4 linked regions of the Macaca fascicularis genome follow. The protein of the gene in region 2 purifies or fractionates together with the protein of the main gene of each other region. This does not show direct contact. Links are inferred from orthologs where the notes say so. Each region holds a gene or a part of one and is shown on either strand. Other genes may lie near its edges. The genes, in order: PPP2R1A, ECSIT, TIMMDC1 and PPP2R2D.

Region 1 (5,836 bases), about 48 Mb from region 2:
TCTGAGGTCTGTGGGCAAGACATCACCACCAAGCACATGCTGCCCACGGTTCTGCGTATGGCTGGGGACCCGGTGGCCAATGTCCGCTTCAATGTGGCCAAGTCTCTGCAGAAGATAGGGCCCATCCTGGACAACAGGTGAGGTCTGGATACTCCCACACACACTGGCAAGGGCTTGTGGGCACCTTCATCTTTGACCTTTGAGGGTAGAGCCCAGGGTCAGAGGCCCGGCACCACTCCTTGCTTGCTGTGTGACCGTGGCTCCTTTCCCTTCTCAAGGTCTGTTTTCTCAACTGTAAAATGAACGTCACAGAATGAAATAGAAAGGGGGGTGATGGGATGGCAGTCTTACATACTAGCAACAAGTCATTAGAAAATGAAATCACCTAATGTTTTATATGTAAGTATTTGTATAATTTATAATTGCACCAAAAATATTAAATAGCCAGGAAAAAATTCAGTGAAAGATGTGTAACACCTCTAGTGTAAACTGTAAAACACTACTGTGAGAAATTAAAGCAGACCTGACCAAGGTGGGCAGATCATTTGTGGTCAGGAGTTCACGACCAGCCTGGTCAACATTGCGAAACCCTGTCTTTACTAAAAATACAAAAAATTAGCCGGTGTGGTAGCACACACCTGTAATCCTAGCTGTTTGGGAGCCTGAAGGCAAGAGAACCACTTGAATCCAGGAGGCGGAGGTTGCAGTGAACTGAGATCACGCCACTGCACTCCAGCCTGGGCGATAGAGCGAGACTCTGTCTCAAAAAAAATTAAAACAGACCTACATAATATTCGTGTGTGGGACAGTTCCCTGAACTCATCTTTAGATTCAGTATAAGCCCATTAAATCTCAACAGGTTCTTTAGTGGAAAATTGACACTTCTAATGAACAAAGTTGGATGATTTATACTACCAGAGACGACACCACAGTAATTAAAATAGATGTGAATACAAGAATATTTAAATCGCCCAATAGGATGGAATCAAGGGCACGGAAACAGTCCCACGTGTGTTTAACAGCAGGCACCTCTGTAGTTCAGTGGAGAAATATATATTTTTTAAAAAACATAGCTGGGTCAATTTGATATCCATGTAGGAATAAAAGAAGCCTCGCCTCTGGCGGGCGCCTGTAGTCCCAGCTACTCGGGAGGCTGAAGCAGGAGAATGGCGTAAACCCGAGAGGCGGAGCTTGCAGTGAGCCGAGATCCGGCCACTGCACTCCAGCTTGGGTGACAGAGCCAGACTCTGTCTCAAAAAAAAAAAAAAAAAAAAAAAAAAAAAAAAAAAAGAAGCCTCGCCTCAATGCATAAACAAATTAATTTGAGATGACAGACCAGAACCAGAAAGATTTAAAAAATAAAACATCTAGAAGAAAATGTAGGAAAATATCTTCATGAGTTAGCGTAGGCACAGCAAACCAGAGGAATTGATGGGTAAGTTGACCTTCTGTAAAATGTAGCACTATTTCTCAAAAGACAGCATTTTGAGAGTAAAATGCAAGCCCTTGACTGGAGGAAGATGTCTGCAATGTATGTTTCTGAGAAAGGACTCATCCACAATACCTGTCTACAAACCAGGCAGGGCAAGAAAGAGATGGGAAAAAAGACTTGAATCGGCACTTGAAAAAGGATCTCCACATAGCTTGTAAGCATATGACAAGGTGTTCAGCATCATCAGCCTTCAGGAAAGTGCAAATTAAAGCTCAGTGACATATCACTACACACCTCCCAGAACAGCCAATATTAAAAAAGACTCAATGGTGCAAATGTTGAAGACATAGAGCTGGAACTCTCATCCGTTGCACGTGAGGCTGTGTATTTAGGGTTTGATCACTCTGAAAACGGGAGTGGAACTGGAGTGGAATTTGGTGAAGCTTGTTATACAAACACCCTGTGAAACAGCCCTTCCACTCCTGGGTCTCTATCCAGGAGAAATGAGTGCTGTTTCTGTCCGAAGAATGTTCATGGTAGCTTTATTCATAGTAGCCATAAAAACAGAAAAAACCTCCATGTCTGCCCACAGTAGAGCAGATAAATTTTAGTTCATTCATACAGTGGAAAACTATTCAGCAGTGAAAAATCAAATGCCTGCTGTAGGCGGCAACACAGGTGGCTCTCACAGATACCATGTTGAGTGAGGAGCCAAACCCAAGAAAACACACCATTTATGTCAAGTTCAGAAACAGGCAGAATGAAAGAATCGAGATGATGGAAGTAAGAATAGTGGTTATTTGGGGAGAACAGGGAGCTGTCAAGTGAAAGTGGGGGACCCACAAAGCCTGCACTTTTGATTTCTGTCTGAATCTGTTCCAGGACACAACCTCAGCTTTAGTTTCTCTCCGAAGTCCTCCTCCATTTCCCAAAACAATTGACTCGGTGCAGGCGGAGTTCCCTGGGCCCCATAGATGAGAGTGGTTGCCTCCTCTGGGCTCCTGGAGGACCAGAAACTTTCCCTTGGGACCACTTACCACTCCCTTCTTACGTAGCAGTTTGGTCTCTGTCTTGCTCCTGGCCCGGATGCCTCATGGCAAGAAAAAGTGATTTAGCTCCGTATTCATTCCATATACATTGTAGGCCTCAGTGAATATGTGTGAAATCAATGAAAGATACCCATTTGTTGGGCCTCAGAGACTTGGGAGTTCTGTGATTCTGTTCTACTTTCCCAGCCTGCTCTGATCTCCCTGTTTGGGGCCCCAGAGAAGTCTGTTGTTGTTTGTCATACTTCTGACTTTTAAAGTAATTGGTTGGTTGGTTGGTTGGTTTTTTTGCAGTTTGTTTGGTTTTCCTTTGAGACAGAATCTCACTCTGTCGCCCAGGCTGGAGTGCAGTGGTGCAATCTCGGCTCACTGCAACGTCTGCCTCCTGGGTTCAGGCAGTTTTTGTGTCTCAGCCTCTTAAGTTGCTGGGATTACAGGTGTGCACCACCATGCTTGGCTAATTTTTGTACTTTCAGTAGAGACGGGGGTTTTGCCATGTTGTCTAGGCTGGTCTTGAACTCCTGGCCTCAAGTGGTCTGCCCACCTTGGCCTCCCAAAGTGCTAGGATTGCAGGCATGAGCCACCGCACCTGGCCTTGATTTTACTTTTTTTTTTTTTTGAGACGGAGTTTCACTCTTGTTGCCCAGGTTGGAATGCAATGACGCAATCTTGGCTCACCACAACCTCCACCTCCCAGGTTCCAGCGATTCTCCTGCCTCAGTCTCCCAAGTAGCTAGGATCACAGGCGTGCACCACCACACCCTACTAATTTTGTATTTTTAGTAGAGACAGGGTTTTTCCATGTTGGCCAGGCTGGTCTCAAACTCCCGACCTCAGATGATCCACCCACCTTGGGCTCCCAAAGTGCTGGGATTACAGATGTGAGCCACCATGCCAGGCCTGATTTTACTTTTAATATACACATAATTATACATATTTATGGGGGTATAGTAGTGTTTTGATAATGTGTGCAAATGTGTAATGATCAAATTAGGATGATTAGCATATCTATCACCTTAAATGTTTACCGTTTCTTTGTAATGAGAACATTCAAAATCTTCTCTTATAGCTGTTTTGAAATATGCAAAATATTATTGTTAACTATGGTCACCTTCCTGTGCATTGAGCGGAGATTTCTCATTCCTGTGTATGTCCTGGATTCTTGAGACTCCTCTCACCTTGGGTTTGGTGTATCCATGTCTGTGTATACCCTCTTGCTCAAGAGCCCTGTGCCCACCTGTTGCCCCAGTACGCTCCCTTTCTCTGTCTCCTTTTCGCTTTCCAGCACCCTGCAGAGTGAAGTCAAGCCCATCCTAGAGAAGCTGACCCAGGACCAGGATGTGGACGTCAAATACTTTGCCCAGGAGGCTCTGACTGGTAAGACCTAGAAAGCAGGGAGCCCTAGCAGGAGGGTGGACTTTTGAGGACAGGTGCTAGGCTGTCCTTTGAGAACAAGGTCGCAGCTTCTGGGAGGGGGAGGTACCATGGCATTGTGGGCAGAGAGAGGGCTGTGGTTCTGATTCTTGCCTGTTCCTGTTTTCCTAGTTCTGTCTCTCGCCTGATGCTGGAAGAGGAGCAAACACTGGCCTCTAGTGTCCACCTCCAACCCCCACAAGTCCCTCTTTGGAGAGACACTGGGGGGCCTTTGGCTGTCACTCCCTGTGCATGGTCTGACCCCAGGCCCCTTCCCCCAGCACGGTTCCTCCTCTCCCCAGCCTGGGAAGATGTCTCACTGTCCACTTCCCAGTGGGCTGGGGGAGCACGGGGTTGGACAGGACAGCGACCCTGGGAGGAAGGGGCTACTCCGCCCACGTCGGGGAGAGATGTGAGCATCCCGGGTCACTGGATCCTGCTGCTGTAATGGGAACCCCTCCCCCATTTACTTCACCTCCCATCCTTCCCCTCATTGGTTTTTTTTTTGTGTGTCAACTGTGCCATTTTTATTTTATTCCTTTTATTTTCCCCCTTTTCACAGAGAAATAAAGGTCTAGAAGTAGTCAGTCCTCTGGCCTTAGTCATCAGCATGGAGGAGGGGACACCACCCCAGAGTCATAACATCTGCCCTTTTCTCTGGAGAAGATCTTGTTACAGGACCCATTATACCCCTATGTCCCGAGAGAATTCTCTGGGGATCCCCCGAGGAGTGCTGCTGGCCTGTGGAGCAGAGGGTCCACGAGGTGCTCTGGCTGCTGTCCTGTAGTGCAGTTCAGTTTCATAGATGTTGGCCGAGTATTTTGGGGGTTAAGAGCAGGTGCCTTGGAACCAGACTACCTGGGTCCAAATTTTGGCTCCTTCAGTTAATAGACGTGTGACTAGGAGTAGCTTGTTAAGTCTTTATGAGCTCAGTTTTGTATTGTGTAAAATGAGAGTGACATTAGTACCTAGATTGCAGGGTGGGTGGCGAGGACCAAGTGAATTAGTACCTGGTAAGTGTGTAACAGTTTCAACATGAGAAGTACACAACATGGGAAGCAGAGTTAGCTGTACATTGCCAGAGAACCCCCTGTGGGCCATTTCCTGTGTTCTTGAAGAAGACTTGGGCTCTGACCCTGTCCCCAGGAGGTCTATCAGGATTGTACTAGAGAGAGAACTATGGCAAGATAGACCAGTTGTCTCTCAGTATCTATTCTCCCCTTCCTAATATAGAAGCTCTGATTTTTAGCTGGGCACATGACTATATGCATTCCAGGTATTTTCCTAGTGTCTCTTGAGATTAGGTGTGGTACTGTGACCAAATTCTAGTCAAAAAGATGTTGAACAAAAGTGGTATGTGCAGCTTCTATGAAGTGTTCTTAAGGGTGAAGGCATGATCCCCCACCTTTCCTCCTTCCTGCACTCCTGCACTCTGGAATGTGGACCAGATGGCTAGAGTAGAAGCTGCCACCTTGGGCCAGAAAATGATCTTAGGAGTGAAGGTCAAGGAAGACAGGACAAGATGGAAGGAGCCTGGCTCCCTGAGGCTGTGAAGAGCCACGCCAGTATTGTCACCTGGGAGAATTCAACTGGTTAAGTGCCTGTTCATTTGGGGTTTCATCACTTGAAGGTGACCCGAATTCTAACTGATGCAGGGAGGGGCCTGGAGCACCCTGGAGAAAGGAGCAAGGGACGTAAGGCTGGTGATGTCTGCATGGAAGGGTTTCGCAGAGGACGTGGTGCTTGAGCACATTTTGGCACAGGTGGTGGAAGGGAAATGTGGCTTTGAGTGACAAGGTGATTTCACCAGCTTAGCCCTCATATTACCACATCCCTACTCTGTTAGACTTTTTTTTTTTTTTTTTTTTTTTTTTTTTTTTTTTTGAGACGGAGTCTCGCTCTGTCGCCCGGGCTGGAGTGCAGTGGCCGGATCTCAGCTCACTGC
Region 2 (6,595 bases):
TAAATAATGACTGGGCACGGTGGCTAGTGCCTGTAATCCCAGCGCTTTGGGAGGCTGAAGCGGGAGGACCACTTGAGCCCAGGAGTTCGAGACCAACCTAGGCAACATGGTGAAACTCTGTCTCTACTAAAAATACAAAAATTAGCTGGGTATGGTGGCACGTGCCTGTAGTCCCAGCTACTCGGGAGGCTGAGGCAGGAGAATTGCTTGAACGTGGGAGGCGGAGGTTGCAATTAGCCAAGATTGCACCACTGCACTCCAACCTGGGCAACAGAGCCAGACTCTGTCTCCAAAAAATAAATAAATAAAATATAATAAAATAAAAAATAATAAAAAGACTAGTTCTGGAAAGATAAATAAGAAAATAAAAGCCATGAGCACCTCAAGAGGACACCAGTAACTCTGAAGGCCACAGCCAGGTCAGCGACCCCACCATCTTACCCACTCCCCAGCTAAGCAGAGCTGACTCTGCCTGCTTGTATCTGCGGGAGCATAGCAGAGGGCAGTAGCACTCCCAGCCGCTACCCACATGCCTGTCAACTTGCCAAGGAGGAGTGCTCCAGCCAAGCAGCTGATTGGCTACAGGTCTTCTCAGATCGCCCAATCACAGGAGTTCTGGTGAGGTGGATGTCCTGCGGCTGCGCAGAGTCCTTGAGGCAGCCTAAGAGCAGGTTCTTGCATCCTAGTCCCCATGCCAGCTCACTGCACCACAGAAGCTGAGGGACTGCAGAAATGGGCTTATGAGGACAGATAGCCTTTCTTTCTGGGGGCCACTGCTATTGCCAATAGCCCATTTTATGTGCTTATCCACCTTAGTTACTAACAGCCTAAATCTGGTGCTTTCTGGGGGAGACCAGGAGCCCCCATTACTCAATCTCACCTCGTTTTATCACATTTCCTCCTAAGTTACTCCATTCCAACCACACAGAGTCTTTGCTGTTGTTCCCAGTGCCAAAAGCCTTCCCCAGATATCCAGAAGGCTCACTCACTTCCTCTGGCCTTTACTCAAAGGCCGCCTCATTGAGACCTTCCTATCTATCTATCTATCTATCTATCTATCTATCTATCTATCTATCTATCTATCTATTTATTGAGACAGAGTCTCACTCTGTCGCCCAGGCTGGAGTGCAGTGGCACAATCTTGGCTCACTGCAACCTCCACCTCTTGGATTCAAGCAATTCTCGTGCCCCAGCCTCCCAAGTAGCTGGGATCACAGGAGCTCACCACCACGACCTACTAATTTTTATTTTTATTTATTTATTTATTTTTTGAGACAGTCTCGCTCTGTCGCCCAGGCTGGAGTGCATTGGCGCGATCTCCGCTCACTGCAAGCTCCGCCACCTCCCGGGTTAATGCCATTCTCCTGCCTTAGCCTCCCTAGAAGCTGGGACTACAGGCGCGCGCCACCACGCCCGGCTAATTTTTTTGTATTTTCAGTAGAGACGGGGTTTCACCGTGTTCGCCAGAATGGTCTCGATCTCCTGACCTCATGATCCACCCGCTTCGGCCTCCCAAAGTGCTGGGATCACAGGCGTGAGCCACCGCGCCCGGCCTATTTATTTAATTTTTTTTTTTTTTTTGAGACGGAGTCTCGCTCTGTCCCCCAGGCTGGAGTGTAGTGGCCGGATCTCGGCTCACTGCAAGCTCCGCCTCCCGGGTTCACGCCATTCTCCTGCCTCAGCCTCCCGAGTAGCTGGGACTACAGGCGCCAGCCACCTCGCCCGGCTAGTTTTTTGTATTTTTTAGTAGAGACGGGGTTTCACCGTGTTAGCCAGGATGGTCTCGATCTCCTGATCTCGTGATCCACCCGTCTCGGCCTCCCAAAGTGCTGGGATTACAGGCTTGAGCCACCGCGCCCGGCCTTATTTAGTTTATTTTTTGGGACAGAGTCTCGCTCTGTTGCTGAAGCTGGAGTGCAGTGGAGTGATCCTGGCTCACTGCAACCTCCGTCTCCCGGGTTCAAGCGATTCTCCTGCCTCAGCCTCCTGAGTAGCTGGGATTACAGGAGCCCACCACCATGCCCTGCTACTTTTGTATTTTTAGTAGAGACGGGGTTTCATCATGTTGGCCAGGCTGGTCTCGAACTCCTGACCTCAGGTGATCCGCCCTCCTCGGCCTCCCAAAGTGCCTGGATTACAGGCGTGAGCCACCACGCCCGGCCCTGTTTGTTTATTATTACTAATTTTAGAAATAGGGTCTCGCCGGGCGCGGTGGCTCAAGCCTGTAATCCCAGGACTTTGGGAGGCCGAGACGGGCGGATCACGAGGTCAGGAGATCGAGACCATCCTGGCTAACACGGTGAAACCCCGTCTCTACTAAGAAATACAAAAAAAATAGCCGGGCGAGGTGGCAGCGCCTGTAGTCCCAGCTACTCGGGAGGCTGAGGCTGGAGAATGGCGTGAACCCGGGAAGCGGAGCTTGCAGTGAGCTGAGATCCGGCCACTGCACTCCAGCCTGGGCTACAGAGCGAGACTCCGTCTCAAAAAAAAAAAAAAGAAAAAAAAAAAAAAAAAGAAAAGAAATAGGGTCTCACTGTGTTGCCCAGGCTGGAGTGCAGGGGTGCAATCATGGCTCACTGTAGCCTCGACCTCCAGGGCTCAAGCGATCCTCCCGTTTCAGCCTCCCGAATACTGGGACTATGAGCACGCGCCATTGCGCCCAGTTAATTTTTAACTTTTTTGTAGAGAAGGGGGTCTCGCTATGTTGCCCAGGCTGGTCTCGAATTCCTGGCCTCCCAAAGGGCTGGGATTACTGGCATGAGCCACCGTGCCGGCCTCCTTTCACTTTTTTAAAATTCATTTTCTCATTTCAGCCCCTGGAGCCTGCGGCTGGATTCACAGACTCCCAAGTCCAGCCTCCCGGGCCATTTCAAGGTTCCCAGGCCTGGAGTGACACTTGACTCATTAGAAGCGGGGCCCAGCTCGTTATGAGGCGGGTCTAAGGCCCTTCCGCCTTCCCATTGGCGCACCTCGCTTTGTGGGCGGGACCTATTACACCAGCTTTCTTGATTAGCTGCCTCCCTGGCGCTCCCTGACCCGGACGCTCTCTGGGCCAATATGGCGGCGCCCAGCAAGAAGACAGAGCTGGCCTGGAGTCCGCGGCTGGCCGCGTGAGTAGGTAGGTCGCACGCGGGTAGGCGAGCGCGAACTGCTGGGCTCTAAGCGGACCCTTCAGGACCCGGCAGCGCGAGAGGGCGGCCCTGGAGGGACCCAGCTGCAGGGCCAGGGCGCCGTGACCTTTCGTAGTGGGGGCGGGGACGCGCTGGGAAAGGCCGCCCCTCTTGTGCCAGCCGCCTCACGCCCCCAGTCTCCGGTTTTGCAGATGAAAACAACTGACCCAGATTAAAGTCCTCGCCAGAGGTCACGCCGCAAGTCGGCAACCGGGCAGGAATTGGAATCTACGTCTGCCTGTTTCCCCCAAGAGACCCAGAATCCTGGCAGCCGGTTTCAGAGCTGCTGTACGTACACTGTACCTCGGGGTTCAGATTTATAGGTGTTTTGTTGAAATTGAGCTCTTGTTTCCGTTCCGTTGATACTTGTTAGGCATCTACTGTATACCAGGCACTGTCCTGGGCGCTGGAGACACAGCCATGAGGAAGATAGATAAAAATCCTTCATCTCCTGGGGGAACCAGACTTTTAACAAATCACAAATAAACGAAACAGGTGATTTCAGATACTGATAAGTTACTAAAAATGCGTTAATGGTGTCGGGAATTTCGCTTGAGCCCAGGAGTTCGAGACCAGCCTTGGCAACATAGCAGGGCCCTGTTCTCTACAAAAAATTATGCGGGCATTGTGGTGCACGCCTATAGTCCTAGCTACTCGGAAAGCTGAGGTGGGAGGATTGCTTGAGCCCAGGAGGTCAAGGCTGTAGTGAGCCGTGATTGTGCCACTGCACTCCAGCCTGGGGGACAGAGCAGGACCCTGTCTCAGAAACAAACAAACAAAAATTAATAGGTCGATGAGGGCTTTTAGAAAAATATGGGGAATGGGAGGTGGTCAAAGAAGACCTTTCATTGAAATGACCAGAGACAGCTGTGGGCAGATCTGGAGGAAGAAAGCTCTAGACAGAGAGAAAAGCGAGTACAAAGGTTCTGAGATGGGTTAAACTTAGTTTATTTCAGAAACAGTGTAGCTGAAGCTGCCAGTGGTAGGAGTTGAGAGAGAGGGGTAGACCCTGTCTGATTTTATTTATTTATTTTTATTTTTTAGAGACAGGATTTCCCTTGTTTGCCAAGCCTGGAGTGCAGTGGTGCAATCATAGCTCACTGCAGCCTCAAACTCCATGGCTCAAGTGATTCTCCTGCCTCAGCTTTCCCAGTAGCTGGGACTACAGGTGCACACCACCAGGTCCAGCTACTTTTTTAAAACAATTTTTGTAGAGATCGTGTCCTGCTATGTTGTCCGAGCTGGTCTTGAATTCCTGGGCTGCAGTGATCCTCCCCACTTGGCCTTCCAAAGCACTAGGATTATAGGCATGAGCCACTGCTCCCTGCCTATTTATTTTTAGAGACAGGATCTCAGTATGTTGCCCAGGCTAGAGTGCAGTTGCTATTCACAAGTGCAGTCATAGTTCACTGCAACCTCTAACTACTGACTTTAAAGGATCCTCCAGCCTCAGTCTCCTGAGTACCTGAGATGACAGGCATTCGCCACCGTGCCTGGATAATTTTTAATTTTTTTGTGGAGATAGGGTCTCACTATGTTGCCCAGGCTGGTCTTGAATTCCTGGGCTCAAGTGATCCTCTTACCTTGGTCTTCCAAAGTGTTGGGATTACAGGCATGAACCAGTGTGCCCAGTCCCTGATTTTAAGTGTGATGTGCCGTTAGCAATTTTAGGCAGAAATCACTAGTTTTAGTTAGTTTGTTTGTTTATTTATTTAGAGATGGAGTCTCACTCTGTCACCCAGGCTGGAGGGCAATGTCCGAAGCAACTGGGATTACAGGCGCCTACCACCACTCCTGGCTAATTTTTGTACTTTTAGTAGAGATGGGGTTTCACCATCTCAGCCAAGCTGGTCTTGAACTCCTGACCTCGTGATCCACCCGACTCAGCCTCCCAAAGTGCTGGGATTATAGGCGTGAGCCACCACGCCTGACCTAAGTTTAGTTTAAAAGCTCCCTCTGGCTGGGTACGATGGCTCATGCCTGTAATCCTAACACTTTGGGAGGCCAAGATGGGTGGATTGCTTGAGCTCAGGAGTTCAAGACCACCCTGGGCAACATGATGAAACATCATCTCTACTAAAATACAAAAAATTAGCTGGGTGTGGTGGTACACACCTGTAGTCTCAGCTACTCGAGAGGCCTAGGCATGAGAATCAACTTGAACTGGGGAGGCAGAGGTTGCACTGAGCTGAGATCGTGCCACTGCACTCCAGCCTGGGCAACAGAATGAGACTCTGTCTCCCCCGCAAAAAAAAAGCTCCCTCTGGCCATAGTGGGGAGAACTGACTGGAGGCGGGAAGGGCAGATGTGGGAGGCTCGATAGGTATCCAAGTCATAGATTGAGATGGTGGCTTCAGACAGAAAGAGGTGCATTTGGGATGGATTTGGAAATAGTCACCCAGACTAGTTTTTTTTTTGTTTTTTTTTTTTTTTTTTTGAGACAGAGTCTGGCTCTGTCGCCCAGGCTGGAGTGCAGTGGCGCGATCTTGGCTCACTGCAAGCTCCACCTCCCGGGTTCACGCCATTCTCCCACCTCAGCCTCCCGAGTAGCTGGGCCTACAGGCGCCTGCCACCACACCCGGCTAATTTTTGGTAGTTTTAGTAGAGACGAGGTTTCACCGTGTTAGCCAGGTGTTTGAGAGCGGTTGCTCTCAAAACCGTAATCCCAGCACTTTGGGAGGCCAAGGTGGGTGGATCATGAAGTAAAGAGTTCGAGACCAGCCTGGCCAACATGGTGAAATCCCATCTCTACTAAGAATACAAAAATTAGTCAGGTGTGGTGGTGCATGCCTGTAATCCCAGCTACTCCAGAAGTTGAGGCAGGAGAATTGCTTGAACCCAGGAGGCGGAGGTTGCAGTGAACCTAGATCACGCCACTGCACTCCAACCGGGGCGACAGAGCAAGACTCCATCTGGAAAAAAAAAAAAGCAGATTCCAATTCAATAGGTCTGGGATAGGGCCAATAATTTGTTTTTTTTTGTTTTGTTTTGTTTTTTAGCAGGTGAGTTGGTACACGTTCAGTGGATTCTGACTTTCATGGCTGCCATCCTGATAAATTTTGCTTTTTTTTTTTTTGAGACAGTTTCACTCTTGTTGCCCAGGCTAGAGTGCAATGGTGTCCTCTTGGCTCACCACAAGCACTGTCTCCTGGGTTCAAGCGATTCTCCTGCCTCAGCCTCCACGTAGTTGGAATTACTGGCATGCACCACCGCACCCAGCTAATTCTGTATTTTTTTTTTTTTAAGTAGAGACAGGGTCTCTCCATGTTGGAGCTGGTCTCGAACTCCTGACCTCAGGTGATTCATCTGCCTGGGCCTCCCAAAGTGCTGGGATTACAGGCGTGAGTCACCATGCCTGGCCAAATTTTGCTATTCTAATAAACTTCTAAATGTCACTGACGCTGCCAGTCCCTAGGACACACTTT
Region 3 (5,836 bases), on a different chromosome or scaffold from region 2:
CATTGCACTCCAGCCTGGGCGACAGAGTAAGACTCAGTCTCAAAAAAAAAAAAAAAAAAAGAGAGAGGAAAAGCAAAAAAAGAATTTAGTTTCTTGTGCCTGGAGGAGGTCTGAGGTCCATGTTTCCTTGTTGGCTGTGAGCCAGACTATTCTCTGTTCCTGGAGGCCACCACCCACATATCTTCTCCCAGGGCCCCTTTGTGTTTAAACCAGCTATAGCACATTGACTCCTTCTCATACTTCGAATCTTCAACTTCTACTCTGCCACCAGCCAGGGAAAACTCTGCTTTTAAGTGTTCACTCAGATATCTATCTCCTTTTTCATTACCTCAGATTTAACTAATTAGTAACCTTAATTACATTTCTCACATAAATTTTGCCATGTATGATAATATAATCATGGGCATAATATATTCACAGTTGAGTGATTAGGCAGGATATTTGGGGGGACCACTTTAGAATTCTGCCTACCACATTTGGTTAAGGTGTTATCTGTTCAGTGCCTCCATTGCAAAGATATCTTTTTCCCAATGTGATTAATTAGTAATCTGGAGGGTGACACTGAATATCCTGCTCTCCAACTATCTTTTCATCATGTGTTTTTAATGATCCATTGACGACCCATGCTGTAATCGGTTTGTTACTAGAAAGGTGGTTGTAAATGTTGATAAGCTAATTCTGTCAGTTCTTCTGTTTTTATTAGTTGGTATTTGACTAGAAGAGTGCTACCTTCCTCCTGCACCTGTTCACCCCTTTTTCTGCCTCCTTTAAAGGAGAAGATAATGCTATAGATTTAATGATTTTTTAAAAATTTAAATTAAATAAAATCAGCATGTCATAATCTACTACTGCCATTATTTTTGTTGTAGTGTTAATATACCAGTTTGGTTTGAAGGGAAGACTTGTAGAAGTTAGCAACAAAAATATTTTATATTGTGGTAATAAACACATAGCATAACATTCACCATCTTAATCATACTTTAAGTGTATAGTTCAAAAATGCTAAGTATATTCACATTGTGTGTGAGATCTCTAGAACTTTTTTCTCTTGCGAAATGAAACTATATCCGTTAAAAACTAATTTTCCCTCCTCATACCCTCCAGCCCTCAGCAAACATATTTCTACTTTCTGTTTCTATGATTTTGACTACTTTATATACTTCATATGAGTAGAATCATACAGTATTTTCCTTTTGTGACTAGCTTATTTTACTTAGCATAATAATGTCCTTGAGGTTTATCTATGTTGTAGCCTGTGACGGATTGCCCTCTTTTTTAAGGCTGCATAATACTCCATTGTATGTGTATGTCACATTTTCTTTAGCCATCTGTCAGTGAACATTTATGTTGCCAAGTAAAAGTAGTTTTTAGTATGAGGTTACTTAAATTGTAGCTGGAGGAAATTTAAGGTATGTGAAGGTCAAATACTTCTAGTTTGAGAACACAAGAACCAAATTCTCTTCATCACTATAGCAATTATTATCTAAATCAGTTTCTCAGTGGGTTGCTTTTGGCATTGTTGGTGAGACAGTTATGCCAGACTCTTGAACTTTAGGATATTTTGGTGATCCCACCCTCAAAAGCCAGTAGCATCCCTTCCTCAACCAAAAATGCCTTCCACATTTCCTGTCTCCTAGAGGAGCTGGTGCCATTCTGAACTAGAAATTTCATTTCTGAGAATTCTTTGGTGTGGGACTACTTACTAGATCCTGTCATAATTATATACTTTTTTCTCTTCGTTTTGATTTATTTCTCATTCCTCATAAAAACAACCAGTTTCTAGATCTGTTGTTTTATTATATATCAGTTAACTTTAGGAGGTTGTAGTGATTGTTTTTCTCTGTTGTTCAGACCAGAGAAGAGATTACCTCAATGTTTTTCTTTATTTGACAAGGACACTTTAATTCTCAAATGTTCCTATACCTAATAGTGAACAAGTGGCTCTGGTGTTGCTCACACCTTAGCAGAGAATCTCACATGTTGCAAGGTCTAATGATTCTTTTTTCCTAAGCTTTCCCTCTCCTTTCTTCTCAGTACTCCTGTAGGAGGCCTGCTGATGGCATTTCAGAAGTACTCTGGTGAGACTATTCAGGAGAGAAAACAGAAGAATCGAAAGGCGCTCCATGAGCTAAAACTGGAAGAGTGGTAAGGAACATGTTAAGCCCAGGGAATCTTGGCTCTCTTGCCCCAGGCCTTATATAGTGGTGCTCTGTTAAACTTGTGTACTCTAAACTGCCACTCAGTTCAAAGAAGAGTTTATTTTTACTGAGTCCTTCAACTCATTCTGTACATTGTCTTTTAATCTATTTAAGGAGAATGGAAAAATGAAAGACATTAATTTTAGTTTTAATTTAACAAAGGTCTTTCTTTGCATTTTTTTTTTAAGTTAAAATGTTGTAAATCTTACTTGCTTGCATATTTTTTATTTTCCTATGTTCTTGACTGCATAGGAAATTACCTAAAGGGAATATTCACCAAGGAGTGAGCTTTACCTGGCTTACTTAAAAAGTGACATCCTTAGCCAGGCAGGGTGGCTCATGCCTGTAATCCCAGCACTTTGGGAGGCCAAGACAGTTGGATCACCTGAGGTCAGGAGTTCGAGACCAGCCTGGCTAACATGGCGAAACACCATCTCTACTAAAAATACAAAAATTAGCTGAGCATGGTGGCACGTGCCTGTAGTCCCGGCTCCTCAAGGAGGCTGAGGCAGGAGAATCACTTGAACCCAGGAGGTGGAGGTTTCAGTGACCCATGATTATGCTCCAGCCTGGGCCACAGATCAAGACTCCATCTCAAAACAGGAGAAGAAGTGACATCTTTTTTTTTTGCACAAATATGTATGTAAGACACAGCATGTTAAGTCTCCACAAAGATTCTGTTTCTTGCTGTAGACACAGAGGAATTAGGTGGACAGTGGTGGTTCATGCACTGAATGCCACTGAGGAGCATGAAAACTTTTACCTATTGCATGTAATCATTTCCTGGGATGCAATTTGTGGGGTAGGGCAATCAGACTGATAGCTGACTTTGCACAGATTCAATATGTAAGATGAATATAACAGGCTGCTATCTAGTGCTCCTGAGTACAAATGATTCTCACTAGTTCAGCTTCCTGGGTACCTAAGATAGCATTGGCTGCTGCTGCTGTTGCTGTTTTGGTATTATAATTGGATAGATAAGAAATCATTTTTTTCCAATGTTTTCATTTGAAACCTCCATTTCTGCTAACCACACACACATACATGGAAATTCTTAAGAGCTGTAGTCCATTATCCAAAGACTTATGTGCTATATGAGAAAAAAAGCATTGAGGTTGCAGTGAGCCGAGATCACACCACTGCACTCCAGTCTGGGCCACAGAGCAAGACTTCATCTCAAAAAAAATAAATAAATAAAAATTTTAAAAATAAATGAAAAATTAAAAACTACAGAAGTTTGTCAGTGATTTAGGGGTCAGTGATTTTGAGATAGAAAAGCTTAAGAATGGCTGGCTAAGGCCATTCTAAGATCATTCACCTGGAGTCTTCCACCACTGGCAACACTGCCAATTCTAGTGGTTGAGCTGTCATGTGCACTGCCTGAAGACTGGCCCATCCAGGGCCTGCTGCCACCATTTACCTCCCCCCATCCGGTTAACAGCAGATTTGCCAGCAGAAAACTTACAGCTCAGGAGAGAATGGGATGACACATTCAGAATGCTGAAAGGAAAAAACAAACAAAAAAACCCAAAAAAACTCCTGCAAAGAGTATTATACCTAGCAAAGCTGTTCTTCCAAAATGAAGGAGAAATAGTCTTCCCAAGACAGGCAAACACTGAGGGAATTCATCACTACTGGACTGCCTTATAAGAAATGCTTAAAGAACTCCTGCATGTGAATGCAAAAGTATGGTAACTGCCATTATGGAAACACATGAAAGAATAAAACTCACTAGTAGAGCAGATAGATACACAAATAAGAACGAGAAAGGAATCAAACCTTATAATTACAAAAATCCACCAACTATGGAAGTAAATAAGAGGGGAAGAAAGGAACAAAGATTATACAGAACAACCAGGAAACAATTAACAAAATGACAGGAGTAAATCCATACCCACAATAACAACGTGGAATATAAACACTTTAAATTCCCCAATTAAAGATTTAGACTGGCTGAATGAATAAAAAAGAATTTAAAGACTCAACTATATATACTGACTACAAGAAACTTCACCTGTAAAGGTACAGATAGGCTGAAAGTAAAGGGATAGAAAAAGATGTTCATGCAAATGGAAACCATAAATGAGCAGGAATAGCTATACTTAGGCCAGATAAAATAGGCTTTAAATAAAAAACTACAAAAAGAGACAAGGTCATTATATAATGATAAAGAGATTAATTCAGCAAGAGGAAATAACTGTAAATATATATACATCCAACACGAGAGCATCCATTTATATATAAACAAATAATAATAGAGCTAAAGGGAGAGATAAACCCTAATGTAATAGCTGGGGACTTCAACACGGCACTCCCAGCACTGGACAGATCATGTAGACAGAAAATCAACAAAGAAACATCAGACTTAAACTGTACTATAGATCAAATGGATCTAGCAGACATTTACAGAACATCACATCCAAGAGCTGCAAAATACACCTTTTTCTTATCTTGGAATGTTCTTCAGGATAAACCATATGTTAACCTACAAAACAAGTCTCAACAATTTTTTAAAGCTCAAAATAACATCAAGTATTTTTTCAGACCATAGCAGGATAAAACTAGAAATCAGTAACAGGAAGGACTTTGGAAACAGTGCAGATACACAGAAATTAAATAATATGCTCCAGAACAATGAATAGGTCAGTGAAAAAAGAAGGAAATTTAAAAATTTCTTGAAACAAATGAAGGTAGAAACACATCATACCAAAACCTATGGGATACAACAAAAGTATCACAGGTACGTTTACAGCAATAAATGCCTCCATCAAAAAGTAGAAATGTTTCAGATAAACAACCTAACACTGCACCTGAGGGAACTCGAAAAGCAAGAACAAACCAAACCCAAAATCAGTAGACGAAAATAAATAAAAATATCAGAGCAGAGCTGAGTGAAATAGAGACTTAAAACACACACACACACACAAAAGAACTAAATGAAAAGTTCGTTTCTTGAAAACAAACAAAATCAAGAAACTACTAGGTAGACTAAGAAAAAAGACCCAATTAAGTTAAAAAACAAAAAAGGAGACATTACAACTGATACCACAGACATACTCGTATCATTAGAGATTATTATGAAACAACTATATGGCAAGATATTGGAAAAGCTACATGAAATGGATATGTTCCTGAAACCCTATAATCTATTGAGATTGAGCCAAAAAGTAATAGAAAACCTGAACAGACCAATAACAAGTAACAAGATTGAACTGGTAATAAAAAGTCTCCCAACAAAGAAAAGTCCAGGACCACATGGCTTCGTTGCTAAATTCTGCCAAACAGTTAAAGAAGAATTAAGACCAATTCTCAAACTATTCCAAAATATTGAAGGTGAGAGAATTCTTCCAAACTCAGTCTACAAGGCCAGCATTACCCTTATACAACAAAAACCAGACAAGGGCACGTTAAAAAACAACACCACCACCACCACCACCTACAGGCCAATGTATTCTACAAAACAATCCTTAACAAAATTCTAGCAAACCAAATCCAAGGGTACATCAAAAAGATTATACATCATGAACAAGTGGGATTTATCCTAGGTATGCAAGGATGGTGCAACATACACAAATCAATAAATGTGGTACATCATATAAACAGAAGGAAGAACAAAAACCATATGATCATCTCAATAA
Region 4 (5,836 bases), on a different chromosome or scaffold from region 2:
GCACTGTGCCGTTGTCTGTGCTTGCTCATTTATCTCAGCCCGCACGGCTCTGTGGCTTACTGGTGCCCTTCTCCTCTGGTTGGCATGCGTGTGGCATCTGGTTCACTACCACCGTGTTGGAGCCGCCACATCGCTGTGCCGCGCTCCTCGGGCCCGTGCCGGCTCTCCTGTAGAGCAGACTCTGCAGACGCTTTCTCTCCAGGGCCAGATTGCAAACATTTTTGCCTCTGTAGCTCATGCGGCCTTTTCACAACCACTCACCTCTACCCAGATGGTACAGAAGCAGCCAGACACAGTATGTGCACACATGGGCCTGACTGTTCCACTAACACTTGCCTTAAATACAGCAGGCAGCATTTGGCAGACCCTGCTCCAGATGCATACCTAGAAGTGGAATAGAAGAGTTGGAAATCAGGTTCTTTCTTTTTTGTTTTTTTCCCCAAAACATTGATTCTGAGTTTCATCTGTTTGAGATTTTTTTGAGCCAGGATTTTTTAGCTTTAAAAAATACGTATGGTCATTTGATATTCAAATTTATAGTACAGAAATTTTCTCTGCACTGTGCTTTGTTCATTAAAACAGCTCTCATGTTTCTTTGCAGAACAAAAGCCGCCCTCATTCTAGGGGAGAATATAATGTTTACAGCACTTTTCAAAGTCATGAACCAGAGTTTGACTATTTGAAAAGTCTAGAAATTGAGGAAAAAATTAATAAAATTAGGTGGTTACCACAACAGAATGCTGCTCATTTTCTACTCTCTACAAATGGTAAGAATTGTTTTCTAAGTGGCTGATTTAGTGTTTTATTTTTAATTTTCTGTGTGTGTAGATTTCTTTTTATTTTAGAAGTTAATCCTGCTTTAAATTTTGTGGGGAGGGTAAGTTATCTAGGGTAGCAAGTGATAGGTTGAAAATTCAAAGTATGCAACAAAAACCACACGTGCAAGTTACTAGGATGTTACTCTGCACGTCTCCACATCTTTGTTTATTGTGCAAAACACCTCCAATTGGAAATATTCATGTTCAAAGACCCCATAGCTTATAAACCAACATAGGGCCACACCGCTTTCTAATATAATACTCAAACAGTAGTGATGCATGTTACAGTTTTTCTTTTCATATGGAGAATGAGGTTTTTATTTTCAGATAAAACTATAAAATTATGGAAAATAAGTGAACGGGATAAAAGAGCAGAAGGTTATAACCTGAAAGACGAAGATGGAAGACTTCGAGATCCGTTTAGAATCACAGCACTACGGGTATACGTTGCCTTTTCTTTATCCAATGCCGTTCAGAAGTTAAGAATAAACGTTTACGTCTGCTGTTTGGAGAGTCCTGCTGGGTGGAATACTGTGAGGTCCACCTCCTGAGTCATGAAAGGCATTTGCGCTCATGACACATGTGTTTAAAGCAAGGTCTTTCTCCTATTTTCACAAAGGCAAAAAGTCACATGTGGTCTTTAGACAATACTGCAATACTAAGGGGAAAACTCACATCTAATTCTACAGCAGAAATCTTGGTGGACGTACCGACCACCCTTCTCTCTGAAGGTTCGGAACAGCACCTGGCAAGTTGAAGTTCAGATGGAATTCCGAACACTTCGCAGGTGAAACAGCACAGGCTGCAGATCGAAAGATAGGCTGTGGGCCACCAAGATGCATTCAGAATGTTCTCATGGCATTTCTTTGGGGTTGACTTAGGCAGATGCTGACAGTTCAGAACTCTTCACCTGTCCGTCCATGAGCATCATTACTTTTTTAATTGTTAAGTTATTTGCTCCATTGTTGGCGCCCCCCTATCCCCACCCCCCCCCCCCCCCCGCATCATGCAGTATGAAATGACCATATTTCGTCAATTCCAGGGCCTAGATTTTTTCACATTTTAATATCTATGAAATCGGGTAAAACTTAAAACCTCAATGTCTTATAATTGGCCTGGTGCTACGTACGACTGATGTGTGTCTTAAATTAGATGGAACATGGTGAAGGGTGTCCAGCAAACTGGACTCCAGCCCGGGTGTGTCTTGGTGAGAAACCAGCACCTGTGCAGAGGTGTGTCCCCTGGAAGGAAACCCTGCCTGGTCCCAAGGGAGTGCCATTACTAGATCTGAAAACGGTTGGTGGGTGGGTGGGTGGGTTGGCTGGTTGGTTAATTGGTTGGGTGGTTTCGTTGCCGGGGGGGGTGGGTGTGGCTGGTTGAGTTGGTTGGGTTGGGTGACTGGTTTTTAATGAGATTTCAGCCCGTTACGCTATTGTTTATCAAGTGAAGCCGAGTGAGCGAGCCCATTCCACATTAGCCTTTGAAGTGCTACAGAGAAGGACGCTGAGCTGCAGAAGCCTTTCCCTAACACACGTGCCCCTGGGAGTGACGCTGGGTCTGTTCTGATGCCATTTCTCCAGCTTTGCCGTGCGGGGTGGGTGCACCTGGGGTCGTGCATTTCCCAATTTCCCAGGAGGAGTGTCCTCAGACTTCTCACATCGAGGTTATCACCCTGTTTCCTATGAGCTCATCAAAGTGAGAAAGGCTGTGGCATGTGCTGAAAATGTAGTTTATAATGTGAGCCAAGATGTTTCAATCCAAAATGGTGGTGGTGTCTGATACGCAGTGCCGCTGCCTTTGCATCCATGAATTAGTGTAAATCATTTTTAGTGACAGTAACACGAGTTGTGCAGTTCCTTTATCATGAAACTGCTGACCCTAAAGTAGAAGTGTGATGGGACCCCTGAGGGTGGGCACTTGACCCCCTCCAGTCTCGTCCATCTCTTCTACAGGCAACACCACCTCCCACCCAGGTACCTGTGCATACCCCACCCTCAGAAACCCCTGTTCCTCCCGATCAGACCCTGCCACAACCCATGAGTTCACATGCTCATTTTGGGAAAACAGTAGGCCTTTACTAGGCCCAGTCTTGGTTTTATTCAAGGCTGCTTTTGTAGGTTTAGCCTAAATAAAATGGGTATAATTGGTGGCCCTACTGAAGGCTTGTGAGAAGTATAGTTATTTCATTAGTCAGTGCATGGGGAAGAGACCACAGACAGGTAATTCTGTACAATGACTTAGGTCAGTATTTGAGATTGTACCTCTCTAACAGTTCAGAATGGGCTATTTATGTATCTGAGCCTAACTGGGTAAGAGTCAGAAATGTTGCTATTTTTAAATTTTTGCTCTTAAATTATTTTAGTGCCAGAAAAGGGATATAATTAAAAGAAGAAATCTTGGCCAGGCACGGTGGCTCATACCTATAATCCCAGCACTTTGGGAGACTGAGATGGGAGGATCACTTGAGCCCAGGAGTTCAAGACCAGCCTGGGCAACATAGCCAGACCCCATCTCTAAAAATGAAAACAAATTATTTTATATGTAAATTAAAATTTTTTAAAATAAAAGAAGGAATCTTTGTAAGTATTGCAGCCATCATGTGTTTTGATTAATGGGAGATTTGTTAGAGGATTGTGGCAGGTGTGTGTTTTTTAAGCCTGAACTTCATTGAACTGACTCTTCTTGATCTAAAGAATCCAAGGCTGTGGTCAGCACTAACTGGGTTAAAATGGGGGAAGTCTCACTACACACACTTCTCCACGTTCGTTTTTTACAGAATTTGGCCAGACAAGACTCAGTTGAGAGATTTTTTTTCCCTAAGCTTTCAAGGCTCTCCCTTTTGGTTTCTAATTACAAGAATAACAAAAAATACTCTCATTAATTTTTTGTTTTGATTTTAAAGCTTATGTTTTTCTTCCAGCTGGGTGTTAGGGAGATGCAGACCTTTGTCCTTTTTTCATGTGTGATGCTATTCCTCACACCTGAGCTCTCACCTCTGACCGCAGGCGGCCTCCAGCCAGCACCCTTCTCCTCTCTGTCCTTTCCATTTCAGTGTGAATTGGGCTTCCCTAGAAGCCTCCCTGACCGCCGCACTCGACACAGAGATGGGTGCGGGAGGTACCTTTTACTTTTTGTTTTAACCTCAGATGAAGTGTAATGAATAATACATACCTCCAAATAATATGTCTGCCCTATAAGTGACCAGCTCCATGAATGTTTGTAGACTGGACATGCCCATGTAGTCAGCCCCAGACCAATAAATGGAACATCCTCAGCTCCCCAGCACCCACCTGTGCACCCTGCCAGTCCCTGGAGCCGGTGGAGGCTTGTGGGGTTTGCACCAAGAAGCATAGTCCTGGTGCAGTGAGAGGAGTTTTGTGCATGTAGCTGCAAGGAGAGGACAAAGGGAGGGGCTCAGCTGAGCCACCCAGGAAGACTTTGCTGTCCAGCGTCTCAGTGTGGCCACCAGAGGACGCATAGGAGAGGGAGCCGCAGGCCTCGGTGCCTGGGCAGCTTGTACCGTGCCAGCTGATCTTCTTTTCTTCAGCAGGAAGAAAATGTCGACCTCGGTAATGGAAGCAAGGGGGAACACTTGGAATAGACAGTATTCAATTTTGTAGCGTATTTTCATAACTCTGCTAATTGGTTATTTGGGGGTATTGCCTGAACAGAATTATTAGCCGTGAATATAAACTTGTCCTCTTTCGTTATCTACTGTAAGTGTTCTAATTCCATGCTGCTGTGATCTTTGTTTTGAATTCCTATTTCCTTCCATTTTTAGGTCCCAATATTGAAGCCCATGGATCTTATGGTAGAAGCGAGTCCACGGCGAATTTTTGCAAATGCTCACACATATCATATAAATTCCATTTCAGTAAATAGTGATCATGAAACATATCTTTCTGCAGATGACCTGAGAATTAATTTGTGGCACTTAGAAATCACAGATAGAAGCTTTAGTATCCTTCCTCAGAGGGACACTGGCGTTTTCCTGAGGGTGCTCTTTAGATAGTGATTTCTCTTGTTCCTTTATACACCTGTATCTCAGAGTCTGGTCTTGTAAATACCGTCGCTGCACAGCAGCCTGTGATATAAGTTCTCTGTGATTTGAAATGTTTGTCCCTAAAGATACAAATTTCTTTCTACCTTTGGGAAAAAGTTATCTGTGTGATGGGAATTACCCGAAGTCCACTGCTTGCCTGCTTTAGTCAGAGACAATTTTAAATAGGCTGCATTTGAAAAACCAACTTTATGTGGTTTTTTTTCTAAATTTGCTGCATTTGAAAAACCAACTTTATGTGGTTTTTTTTCCTAAATTTGCTGCATTTGAAAAACCAACTTTATGTGGGTTTTTTTTTCTAAATTTGCTAACGGATGATAGAAAATACTGGCTTAGGTTAGAGCGGTGTTTAATCACCCATCTGAGCAGCAGCTTCCAGTTAGAACTTGCATTCTTCTGTGGCCGTGCACGGTCTGGGCGGCCCCAGCCCTCCTCATATGGGCCCCTTTCCAGCCAGCAGGCGGGAGCAGGGGGCTTGCTTCATCTGCAGCCTCTCCAGGGTCCCTGCCGTCCTCCCTCTGCTGTCCAGCGGCTTGAGCTGGGGTTCCATGTCGTGTTGGTTTTCTTAGTTGTTTCAGCTTACGGGGTGAAACGGGGCCGCTGGTCTGAGTTGACCCACAGCTGAATTCTGCCCTTCCTTCCTTTTTTTAGTCGAAGGATTTCTGTATAGGGCAGCCTGCCATGTTGGATCTGCTCTAACTACACAGAATAAACTTCATGTCAGGAAGAGCAACGTCTTTTGCAATATGGCGGTTTTCTTGCATTTGTAGTTTTGTATGGGAGTGTGGGATTTTGCACAGATGGTGCTAGCTTGCTCTTCCTATTTATATGATTAAGTATGTACTATCTTGCTATTAAGGGCTTTCTGTATAACAATAATAACAGCAAGATAAAAGTGGTGTTCGTGTGTCGGGGTCTCCCCCGGGCCGGGGCGTTGCTGCCATCTGAGTGTGCTCAT

The links.
Region 1: the proteins of ECSIT (region 2) and PPP2R1A purify together in Homo sapiens (affinity purification with mass spectrometry; 3 studies listed by BioGRID and IntAct, with this or other methods). This does not show direct contact. The link is inferred for Macaca fascicularis from reciprocal best matches to the Homo sapiens genes ECSIT and PPP2R1A.
Region 3: the proteins of ECSIT (region 2) and TIMMDC1 purify together in Homo sapiens (affinity purification with mass spectrometry; 3 studies listed by BioGRID and IntAct, counting the BioPlex papers as one, with this or other methods). This does not show direct contact. The link is inferred for Macaca fascicularis from reciprocal best matches to the Homo sapiens genes ECSIT and TIMMDC1.
Region 4: the proteins of ECSIT (region 2) and PPP2R2D purify together in Homo sapiens (affinity purification with mass spectrometry; 3 studies listed by BioGRID and IntAct, counting the BioPlex papers as one, with this or other methods). This does not show direct contact. The link is inferred for Macaca fascicularis from reciprocal best matches to the Homo sapiens genes ECSIT and PPP2R2D.

What each region holds. Positions count from the first base shown.
Region 1 is NC_088393.1:59,991,425-59,997,260, forward strand, and holds the end of PPP2R1A (serine/threonine-protein phosphatase 2A 65 kDa regulatory subunit A alpha isoform), read left to right. Parts: coding exon 1-137; intron 138-3,763; coding exon 3,764-3,855; intron 3,856-4,023; coding exon 4,024-4,040; 3' UTR 4,041-4,478; downstream 4,479-5,836. UniProt on the Homo sapiens protein: The PR65 subunit of protein phosphatase 2A serves as a scaffolding molecule to coordinate the assembly of the catalytic subunit and a variable regulatory B subunit.
Region 2 is NC_088393.1:12,100,043-12,106,637, reverse strand, and holds the start of ECSIT (evolutionarily conserved signaling intermediate in Toll pathway, mitochondrial), read left to right. Parts: upstream 1-3,033; 5' UTR 3,034-3,118; intron 3,119-3,205; exon of another isoform or gene 3,206-3,458; intron 3,459-6,595.
Region 3 is NC_088376.1:163,656,434-163,662,269, reverse strand, and holds part of TIMMDC1 (complex I assembly factor TIMMDC1, mitochondrial), read left to right. Parts: intron 1-2,034; coding exon 2,035-2,145; intron 2,146-5,836.
Region 4 is NC_088383.1:140,987,060-140,992,895, forward strand, and holds part of PPP2R2D (serine/threonine-protein phosphatase 2A 55 kDa regulatory subunit B delta isoform), read left to right. Parts: intron 1-601; coding exon 602-767; intron 768-1,145; coding exon 1,146-1,258; intron 1,259-1,507; exon of another isoform or gene 1,508-1,605; intron 1,606-4,599; coding exon 4,600-4,777; intron 4,778-5,836. UniProt on the Homo sapiens protein: Substrate-recognition subunit of protein phosphatase 2A (PP2A) that plays a key role in cell cycle by controlling mitosis entry and exit. Involved in chromosome clustering during late mitosis by mediating dephosphorylation of MKI67.